3 linked regions of the Arabidopsis thaliana genome follow. The protein of the gene in region 1 purifies or fractionates together with the protein of each later gene. This does not show direct contact. Each region holds a gene or a part of one and is shown on either strand. Other genes may lie near its edges.

Region 1 (3,354 bases):
TCTGTATTAATATAACATAATAAAAACAAGTTAATAGAAATAAATTGTATATTTTAAATTAATCAAAATACATAAGCAAGAAATATGAGTATTCAGTATTCACTAATTTTAAAATACATAAATTTAAAAGCATTAGGCTAAATTCACCTATCTTACCAAAATCTATCTAATACAATTAATCTGCATGATAACTGGATAATCTGCTAAATCTAACTAGCTACTTAAGAGGTGGTGATCTACGCCTAGAACGTCTAATCATGATTTAGGAGATTTTAAGCGGCTACACATTTACAACATAACATATTATAAATATTATATTATAAATAAAATTCATAGAAAACTATCTCTTAGAAAAATAAAAATATGAAATTATAAACAAAACTTAGATAAAACCATTTATAATTCATAGCAAACAATATATACAAAGCTAAAACTTATAATTTAAATTGATATAGTTGGAAACAAACAATATATACAAAGCTAAAACTTATAATTTAAATTTATATAGTTGGAAACAAACAATATATACAAAGCTAAAACTTATAATTTAAATTTATATAGTTGAAAACTAAAAAATAAACTAAAATAAAACTTATGGAATTTTAGACAGCCAAAACGGTTATTTAGATATCACATAAACGTCTAAAATCTAGATGACGATCAACTAGGGATGTCAGACGGGCGAGCACGCGACCAAATGGGGGGTCCGTGATGGCCCGTGCTTCTTTTCCATAAGTGGTGGTCCGGTCCGCCAACGACCACATGCGACCAATCGAAGCCCATATTCGCCTCGCAATGTCCATTGGTCTAACGGTCTGGCCCGCAATCCTGTTCTGTTCTAGTTGTCTCTGAAACACACTGTGTTGTTCTCGTCTCTGAAACACAGTGTTGTTCTCGTCTCTGAAACCTTCGCTTATGGAGAACTTCTGTTCTATTGCATGCCTTTGAAGACAAGAGACTTTGACCGTAATAAATGGTTATTCCACAAGTTTTGTAATTCTGTGTTATCACCAAACACAAACTGTTCAGTCTACTCCATCGTTAATATCTAGGTTCACCATTGAATCTTCCACCAGCTATAACCAAACAACGACGAAAAAGAGATGTCATAACTATTTAACTACACAAATAGCATCTAAAAATAGCAACAAAAAAAATCAAAAACTAGTCATTACTTAGTACCTATGAAATTGTTTCCAAATGTCTCCAATTAGAACCTTGGATCCTTCAACGATGGTGATACTACCAACACCACCAAGGACGAGATTCTTCAAGGCATTGGAACCAATAGGACCACAATTGAGTAAACAGATACTCGCTTCTTCCAAAGTCCCTTGACTTCACCTCAAAATCCTAATCAATCAACGATTACTTCATAAAATTTCCTCCCAACAAGATTCGTTCGAAGATCGATAGAATAATACAAATGTAGAGTTCGAAGAGACTAACATAGTATACATGAGTTGACGATCGTACTTGGCTTTAGGTTCCATCATTGTTAGAGATGAGAGATCATATGTTCGTAAGTCGTAAACAGAGGAAGAAGAACAAGCGCGTCGTCCACAAGTCCGCAGACATTAATAGATAAACCATGACTAATCCACAATCCAAAGTTCCAAACGCACCCAACCCGCAATGCCCGCTCTTTTTTTGGACTCCCTTATACAGGCCCATACCTACTCTGCAATATTACTAAACGGGCCAGGCAAAGGCCCAATTGATATCTTTACCATCAACACTTTTTTAAAACATTGATTTTAGTAAAATTTATGTTGTTTAGGAACGTCAAACGCTTAAATAGCTTTTGTTTGACTTGTAGTTTTGCAAATATATAACTTCTCTTTTGACGTATAAAATAAAACTGAAGAATCTGAAATTTGGATAACATGTTAATAATCTTCTTTTACCATTTTTTTCAAAAGTATTGTAGTTAAAAAAAAATTGATTATTGTAAGAAGGGGAAAAACATGAAGGACTACAAGTCTACAACGATAAACTAACGCTGTCTGGTTCCGGTTTACAGTTCAGATCCAAACCCAAACCCTGTAACCCGACCCGATTAATCTCATCGAATTCTCCGTCTCGAACGCCGTTACAATCCAACGAGTTTCTCAACCCAAGATTCTGACTCCGTTTCCTCTTCTTAGACGGTAACTCTCCCTCAGCAACACCGCCGTTAACTTTCGCAACCGTTCGTGTCGCCACGTGTACTCTCCGTAATATCTTGAAAAACTCATCCACCTCTTCCTCCGTTACCGTCCGAACAACTTCCGTCGACGGTTTCCCTCTGTTACCGTCAGATTTTCCGTTATCTTCTTCTACGCGTTCTTCTTTCTTCAAAGAGTTGTTCATGTTAGCCAGAAGAAAATGTTAACGGCGTCGTTTAAGCTTAGTCAAGAAAAAATTATTTGCTGATTTTATTTTGCTAAAATTTATAATGAAACTCTTATAGCCGTCGGTGTGGAACTTAGACGGTCGATATTGTCAACAACTAAATAAATTGGACGGTGGAGATTGATGCTAATGACATCATCATGCGATGTTTTAAAGCGTAAGTATCATGACGTCACACTTTATTGACTTTTGGAATAAAGGAAGTCCATGTGTGGAAAAATTGGTATCGGCTATATTTTTAGAGTATATGTAAGAAATAACTTTTGACTTCAAAAGAATACACAAAATAACCTTGGACCAAATAGTATTTGTCGGCTACAGAAATTTTGGCAATAGTTAGTCTATTTTAGCCTTTCTCTTTCTTCTTCCTTCTTTTGTTTCTTTTTCATCTTCTTTACGAGACTTTAGCCATGGAGTTCTCTTTCTCTCTTCATCTTTAACACAATTCATCTTCTTCAGATTCACCATGTCATTTTCTTTTTCTATTTCTCTCTCCCTCTCCTAAAATAATCTTCACCACCTCTCATAAAATATATCATCATATCTCTTTATTTTGTTCACCTACATGTTCTCTCTTTCTTTTTCCATAGAAATCTCTCTATCTCTCATTCTTTATTTTCTCTTTTTACCTGAATTTTCCGTCAATGTCGTTGTGATATAAGAGATTAGATTTGATTTTAAAACAAATGTCTGATTTTAAAATGCATGTATTTTAAGAACAAAACATGTTATTAACACTGATATATTAATATTTGTCATGCTATCCAATAAAAACTCATGAAATAAATAAATATTTGTCATGTTATCCAATAAAAACCCATGTAATATTGTAACAATTCTATATGTTTTTTTAAACTTCGCGATCTATAAGAGAATTGCATGCTTTTTATAAATATTTCGTGCTATTTCTGAGAAACACATTATTTCAGAGAAACATATATATCGTGTATATATATTCTG
Region 2 (3,757 bases), on another chromosome or scaffold:
GCAACAGTTTAGAGTTGACATCTTCCAACCTTGCATCACCCAAACCCTCATTAATGTCAACTGCAATTTCCACTAGTTTCTGAGCATCTTCTTCTGAACCAGCAAACGGAAATCGGCCTGCTTGAGACGAAAACCTATCAAGTGCTTGGAATGCTAAGTGGAGAAGAGGTGGTCGGTCAAACTTTGAAAAGTCACTTAGAAGAAAGTCGCCTGGATCTTTAAGTGCTTCTCTAAGAGGTTTAAAGTTCAACACCTTTGGTTGTTTAACCTGAGTCACAATGCCACCCTTCATATATTGCCCATAGCTAGAGGTGTCTTCCTCCAGGGTAAATGAAAATGGCTTGACATTTTTTATCTTCCTTGGTTTTCCATCATTTAGCTCTGTCATTCCCTCAACTTCAGAGAAAACAACCAAATTTCCATCTTCAAACTCGAGCCTCTCATCATCGACACACGAAACAAATCCAGGATTTTCATTGCTAACAGAAGCGATGATGCCAGAGTGAGGTTCCTCCCCATCAACATCAAGAACAGTAAAATGAGGTCCAAAATCACAAAACAAAGACCCAAACAGCCCCCTAACATCAGCCTTGATGAATGCAATAGGAGGCTGATGACTGTGACAATAATCATCAATCTCTGTCGCTTTCTCAAAAGAGATATCCACAAATACCACAACCTGCATCAAGGAAAAAAAAAAGAAATCAACCACTAAAGCCAAACATTCTGTACTTTTAGTAGAAACGTTTTCATCCACGTTCAGTCACCTCTAATCTCTTTTACAGATAATTATGTCCATGAATCATGATAGTATTATTAACAACTAGAACAAGGAAGCAAAGACAAACCAAATAAAGGAAGGGTTTGGATACCTGGAAATCAGAAAGCTGCTCTTTGGTTAACTTCCCAGTCAAAGTTGAGACAGCCACAGCATTGTTGAGTTCTTGCAACTTGTGAACAGAAGCAAGTGCTCTATTCTTACCAATGTCCTCCTCCGTGAAAACAAAGTTACTAGATAGGTCCCATAGCTCAACCACATTTTCATCGTGAAGGGTCACTGACTTCACACCAGCTAGAATAATATTCTTGGCTAAATAAGAAAAAAAAAAAAAAATCATCCATCAGAAAGAAGGAAATAACGAAGAGAATAAAGAGCTATACCAGTCATTAGTTCATTACAAATCTATAGTGAATATTGAATAATCCTTCCATTATATAATGTGTCACTAACTCATTAGAAAATCAGGATTAACAAGTTAATATACCAATTTTACAATCTCAACTTCAAGTGCCCAAATGTACACACAACATCAAAACAGCTTAATCACGAAATACGTTTGCTCAAGCTTGAAGCTCTTTAACAACCAGCAGGACAAGCACAGGAATAACATGCAAGCAGAAATTAACAACGAAAAGTACAAAAATCGTTACCAATCTCAACACCAAGGCCCTGCATCCCAGAGATGAGAACGTTGGAAGCGAAAAGCTTCCTCATAGTCTCACGGCCGTAAACGGCGAGCTGTCTGCTATGAAGATCTTCATCGATCTCCTGATTGTTGGAGTTGTCGTTACCAAACTCCGCCATGCTCATCACCGTATCGTTACCACCGATGCTGTTGTTCAAACCGATGCTACTGGAGTTAGAAGCGTTAATCGCAGAACCATCAGCTGACTCAGTGTGATCGATCCGTCGCTTCTTCATCGGCGAAGAAGCAGATGCGATGATGTTCTCCTTAACAACGAATGGTTCCATATAGAGTAACTGAAAGAGAATATGTATCAAATAAACAGAAGAAGCTTCGAATAACAAACAAAGACAATAAATGAATTCCGATGAGAAGGTTCCTAGAGCTAATCGATGAAGGAATCTGAAGAAGAAACGAGAATCGGAGGAAATGAAAACGAAACCGTACCTTTGAGAGAAGATCGGAGGCGATAAGCGGCGAATTTGTTGTTAAAGTAGAAAGAGAGAGTATACTAAGCTTTTGGCTTTGTAGGTTGTGTAGAAAGAAGCGGCGGTATATAACAAAAATTGGGCGATGATTGTTGGGCTTTGAAACTATTTGTGCTGAATTCAGAATCAGCCTGTGTTGTGTGGTAAGTTTTTTCGTTTTTTCAAGTGGACCAGTTTAAGATAAATATCTGGTTTTGGTCTTGTAACATTGAACCGGATTTGAGTATGCAATAGACCAAATTTTAATTCAGGTTAGGTGTGATTGAATTTAAACTTTGAAATTGTTAATCAATCAAGTTTTGTTTTTTATTTGTTGATTGATAAAGAGAGAGTAGTTGTTGGATATTTGAATGTGTGTCGTACTTGCTAATTCCTAAAGATTAATAGACATTTCAAAGAAGTGTAATAAGAGTGAAACTTAAGCATAATGTGTGGAAATGTACCTTATGAACTCAACCATTTTGGTGTGAGCATTTGTGTTTGGAAAATGATATGGGGATGCTCTCTCTATCACTTATACCAACAAACACAATCTATGTTTTATGTGTGATTTCTAAACGAAAAAAATAATATTAATGGATTTGTAGTGTGACTACATTAGCGTGAAAAAAAACTCTTGTATCTTGAGAATTTGACCAACATTGCTTGACAAGTATATTCACGGTTGTATGATAACGATGAAAAATGTCTCACATTATATTTCTTGTGTGAATTGGCGTTGGTAACAAAGATTGACAAGGACCCCTTAAAAAAAAAAGTCAAGAAAAACATTCAAAAGACATAGAATTTCGGTTGAACCGGATTGGTCAGCTTAAATTACTAACGTATGGTTGGTTAAGCAAGCTGAGGAAATGTGTCTCCATTTCGTGATTTCTTCTTCCCTCGCGGGGATTTAGTCTTCTCTCTTCCAGCAGAAACCAGAAGAACTGTTCCTCGCTTACTACGATCCCTAACCGGACGCGAAATTTCAAGGTTCGTCCTCCTCTTAACTTCTCATCAGTTAATGTCTCTTTTAAGTTGAATTTGACTAGTATGATTCCAATTTCAGATGATAGTTAGGGGATTTTATCTCTCGGATCGATCGTTTTGGGTTACAAGAACTAAGATAGAATCAAATGTTTTTGTTTCTCCATTAGTTAATTAGTCTAAGAGATATAGAACAAAAAGTTTCGCTTCTTTCTTGTTATCTTTTGATGCACAGAAAGGTCATGAAACCTAGAACTAGGGGGAGTGATCAATGGTATTTGTAGCCAAAACTAAAAAAAAAGTTTGTTTACCTCTACTTTGATCAATTCGATGCTAGATCATTGTTTATTCAATGTGTGGTCCTTTCTTCACCCAATTTCTCCAAGTTTCCAACTCATGAATACTTGTAGTTTTTTATAAAAAAGAGGAAACCTTATTGGTGCTCAAGTTATATGAGTGATGATTGGATTCACTATCTTACTTTCCACTTCTATTAGTATTGAGATAAGTTTAGCTACAACTTTGTCAGTTATCGTTGAATCTAATTTGATTTGTGAATATTCTTTAGTGTTTTTTCATCACATGGCCTCCTTTGATGGGCCAAAGTTCAAGATGACTGATGGCTCCTATGTTCAGACTAAGACCATTGATGTTGGATCATCAACAGATATCTCTCCATACCTTTCACTTATAAGAGAAGATTCTATCTTGAATGGAAACCGAGCGGTGATCTTCGATGTGTACTGGGATGTGGGGTTTCCTGAAACTGAAACCAAAACCAAAACGTCAGGGTGGAGTCTGTCATCGGTGAAGCTGAGCACTAGAAACTTATGTCTC
Region 3 (3,757 bases), on another chromosome or scaffold:
CGTTCTAAGTGTTCGTACTCTCCTCTTACGAGTTACAAGATTGAAGAGGTTTCCATCCTATAAAGACGATCAAGAATATATAATAAGAAATGCTTACTTTAATCAAGTCAATCTTCTCTTGATGTATCACAGGTCTTCACCTACCTTTTCGTAGTCACGAAGCCATTTTTCTTCTTCCTTAGCTTGCTTCCAGGTTTCAACTGCATCTATTATGCCTTTCCTTCTTAAAGCTTCAGATTTTGCTTCCTCATATTAGCATCCAATGCAGCACCAATATCAGATAGAGCACGATCACCTGACAAGATAACTTATCTTTTAAGCATATCTAAATTGCTGTTTTTTTCTTACAAATAGAAGAGTTCTTCACTTACCCTCATTATCAGTTAGCTCAATACTGCCTGTCGAGCTCGACAAAATGCCTTTAACTCGTATTGCTTCTGAAGTACATTCACCTTCAGGGTTTCCCCAGTTTTAGTTTTCTTTGCCACTTTGTCAGCCTTGTCTTTATTAGCAATCCTCTTCGTTTTGGGAGCACCAGTGGATTCCTTTCTTTTACCAGCATCATTAGTACTCGTCTTGGGAAGATATTTTGCACAACTCCATTTTTGTTTTTTCTTAGGGTGATGAATGACTTGGCCTGAGGTGAGAAATTGAGAGTGTAGAGACTTTTGCCTTTGTAGTTATACTCTGCCAAACTCCATCCTTTTAGCCAATCATCCACAAACTCTATGGGTAAATCATCATGATACCTTAAGTAAGCTAGTTTAGAAGAAGTGCTCACAACTTCTTGACCCATTTGAAACTGATGAACATAGTAATTGACACTGCCCCACTTTATAAGAGCACCATTGCAATTAAAATATCCAAGATGAACATTTTTAGTTGGATAAAAGAAGACCCACGACTTGTTGCTTTCTCCCTCTAGAAATTGAAAGTTGATGAAATCTCACTCCCATGGACTGCGATCAAATATTTCAAGATCGTCTATCCATGGAATTGCAACATCAACTCCAAAATCTACACTTTTAACCAAACTAATCATAAGTTAAATTTCAATTTACAATCGTTTATTAATATAGTGATTAAGTAAGTTATCAAGTATTAATTTATAGAGTTTTATTTTTGTATAAACTAACCACGAGTTAAGGAGGTGTTATTGGTTTATGATTTCAAAAGAGTTTTAGTGACTTAAAGTATCATGTAGAATCTGTTGTTATTTAATCAAAAAAATTTAAAAGTATGTTAAAAGTTTGTGTTATTCATTAAAGATTTGTAAAAAGTAATCTAAAAATCTTCATAAATTTTAGATTATTGAATTCATACTTTTATAAAGTCAGTAAATTTTTTGTGTTATTCTATTAAAACAAAAAAATCTCTGATTGTTTATGATTTAAATTATTATGTTATTGGTTCATGACTTTCTACATTTTCTTTCACAAAATAAAGTCATAGAAAGTCATGAATTTTTTTTCAAAAGATTGTTTTGAGAAACTTTAGAAGAAAATGTATTTAATTATAATATTCATAGCTGGAAATTGATCTAATATTTAATTATAATATTAAAGTTTCCAGTTATCCAAAAGAAGATGTGAGTTTTTTTGAACTTGGTAATTAAAAAAAGAAAGCAATATTTCAGATTTAATACAGATTCATAAGAAGGATCCATAAGAAATTAACTAAACCGGATCTGGTCTTGAAATAGTGACGGACGCGTGTCCCCCGGTCAGAGAGTTGCCGTCACAATCACGCGGAGAAAGAGCGACAAATCAAACCTTAACCGTTAAAACGTCATCGTTTCATATCCCCCCACAACCGAACCCCTTTCGTTCGCCCGTCTCTCTTAAATAAATCTTAGAGATTTCTGCAAAATTCGTCACTTCAATTTCAATTTTCAGATCTCAAAAACTTTTTCTCTTTTCCGATTCCAATCTTCTCTCGTCTGCTTTCCTCAAAGGTACGTTTTATCTTCCTTCTCATAGCTTCCGAAGAATCAATCTAGGGTTAGGTATTTCAATTCTGATCGGATTTTCTCTCTTCAGTGTTCTCTAATCTAATGGGAATTTCACATGTTTTCTCCAGGTTTTTTCATCACTTTATGCTTCACAAGCGAGCTAGTGAAGCTAACGATAAGAACGATAATACCATCATCGGTTCCGATTTAGCATCATCTAAGAAACGCCGTATCGATTTCACTGAATCTTCGTCTGATAAGTCTTCTTCGATTTTAGCTTCTGGTAGTAGCAGGGGTTTTCACGGCGATAGCGTCGTTCAGCAAATCGACATGGCTTTTGGTAATTCGAACCGTCAGGAGATTGATGAAGATCTGCACAGTCGCCAGCTCGCCGTCTATGGTCGTGAGACTATGAGGCGTCTCTTTGCTTCCAATGTTCTCATCTCGGGGATGCACGGTCTTGGTGCCGAGATTGGTATGTACTTCATTGGTTTTATGTTGAGATTGTGGTCTCCCTCGTCTCTTTGGTTTTTGAAACTTGTAGAAACACTGTTTTCGTATGCGTCGTTATTAGAAGCTGTGAATAATTGTGTCATCTTCAAAGATTTTACTCTTTAGTTGTTTTGTTTTGGTTCTCCTGATCTGTGATTGCTGGTATTCTTCAACATCCAAATCTTAGTAGCTTCCTGATGTTCCTTAGTTGTTCGATATCTTTGTTATTGGGGTTTCGTTATATGCCAGTTTTCTAAGATGCATGGTAAATGTGAACTGTTAATGATACTTTTTAGTCGATTGCTTTCTCATTCAGTTTTTGTTTTATTTGTTGATTTTCTTCAGCCAAGAATCTTATACTTGCTGGTGTGAAGTCTGTGACCTTGCATGATGAAAGAGTTGTAGAGCTATGGGACTTATCAAGCAACTTTGTTTTCTCGGAGGATGATGTTGGCAAGAATAGAGCAGATGCTTCTGTTCAGAAGTTACAGGATCTTAACAATGCTGTGGTTGTCTCTAGCTTGACCAAAAGCTTAAACAAAGAGGATCTTTCTGGCTTCCAGGTTTGTAGACAACTCATTTGTCTTGTTATTGGTTCTATATGGTCTGAGTCTTTTGTGTACTGTATCGTTCTGTAGATTACTTGTGAGTTTATGATAACACTGTAACTGAATGAGTAACATAAGAGTGGGTTGTTCTATTTTCGTTGCATATAAGAGATGGGTTTTGTCTCATTTAGTGTTAGGCTATTTCTAGTGTTTATTGATATTGATATGGAAGATTGGTGTACACTTTTCTCATTGGTGTGTGTTTCTTGTTGGCGGGTTTTACGCTGATACATCTACTTTTGTGCCAAACAGGTTGTTGTATTCTCTGACATAAGCATGGAAAGAGCAATCGAATTTGATGACTATTGTCACAGCCATCAGCCTCCTATCGCTTTTGTCAAGGCTGATGTCAGGGGTCTTTTCGGCTCTGTCTTTTGTGATTTTGGGCCTGAATTTGCGGTTCTTGATGTTGATGGAGAGGAACCCCATACAGGCATCATTGCGTCTATCTCTAATGAGAACCAGGCATTTATTTCCTGTGTCGACGATGAGAGGCTTGAGTTTGAAGATGGTGACCTAGTTGTTTTCTCAGAAGTTGAGGGTATGACAGAATTGAATGATGGGAAACCAAGGAAGATAAAAAGTACACGGCCATATTCATTCACCCTTGATGAGGACACTACTAACTATGGAACATATGTGAAGGGTGGTATTGTCACTCAAGTGAAACAGCCAAAGTTACTGAATTTCAAGCCATTGAGGGAAG

What was found.
Region 2: the proteins of AT3G25880 (region 1) and UBA 2 fractionate together in Arabidopsis thaliana (co-fractionation; one large-scale study listed by BioGRID). This does not show direct contact.
Region 3: the proteins of AT3G25880 (region 1) and UBA1 fractionate together in Arabidopsis thaliana (co-fractionation; one large-scale study listed by BioGRID). This does not show direct contact.

What each region holds. Positions count from the first base shown.
Region 1 is NC_003074.8:9,468,538-9,471,891, forward strand, and holds AT3G25880 (NAD(P)-binding Rossmann-fold superfamily protein), read right to left. Parts: upstream 1,497-3,354; coding exon 1,450-1,496; intron 1,339-1,449; coding exon 1,183-1,338; coding exon of another isoform or gene 1,176-1,182; exon of another isoform or gene 1,077-1,175; coding exon 1,055-1,076; 3' UTR 568-1,054; downstream 1-567. Other genes in the region: NIMIN-2 (NIM1-interacting 2), read right to left, coding at 1,984-2,352.
Region 2 is NC_003076.8:1,968,235-1,971,991, reverse strand, and holds the start of UBA 2 (ubiquitin activating enzyme 2), read right to left. Parts: upstream 2,033-3,757; 5' UTR 1,914-2,032; intron 1,763-1,913; 5' UTR 1,754-1,762; coding exon 1,432-1,753; intron 1,091-1,431; coding exon 873-1,090; intron 680-872; coding exon 1-679. Other genes in the region: AT5G06450 (Polynucleotidyl transferase, ribonuclease H-like superfamily protein), read left to right, coding at 3,503-3,757. UniProt on the Arabidopsis thaliana protein: Activates ubiquitin by first adenylating its C-terminal glycine residue with ATP, and thereafter linking this residue to the side chain of a cysteine residue in E1, yielding a ubiquitin-E1 thioester and free AMP.
Region 3 is NC_003071.7:12,855,708-12,859,464, reverse strand, and holds the start of UBA1 (ubiquitin-activating enzyme 1), read left to right. Parts: upstream 1-1,737; 5' UTR 1,738-1,954; intron 1,955-2,079; 5' UTR 2,080-2,095; coding exon 2,096-2,426; intron 2,427-2,788; coding exon 2,789-3,006; intron 3,007-3,303; coding exon 3,304-3,757. UniProt on the Arabidopsis thaliana protein: Activates ubiquitin by first adenylating its C-terminal glycine residue with ATP, and thereafter linking this residue to the side chain of a cysteine residue in E1, yielding a ubiquitin-E1 thioester and free AMP.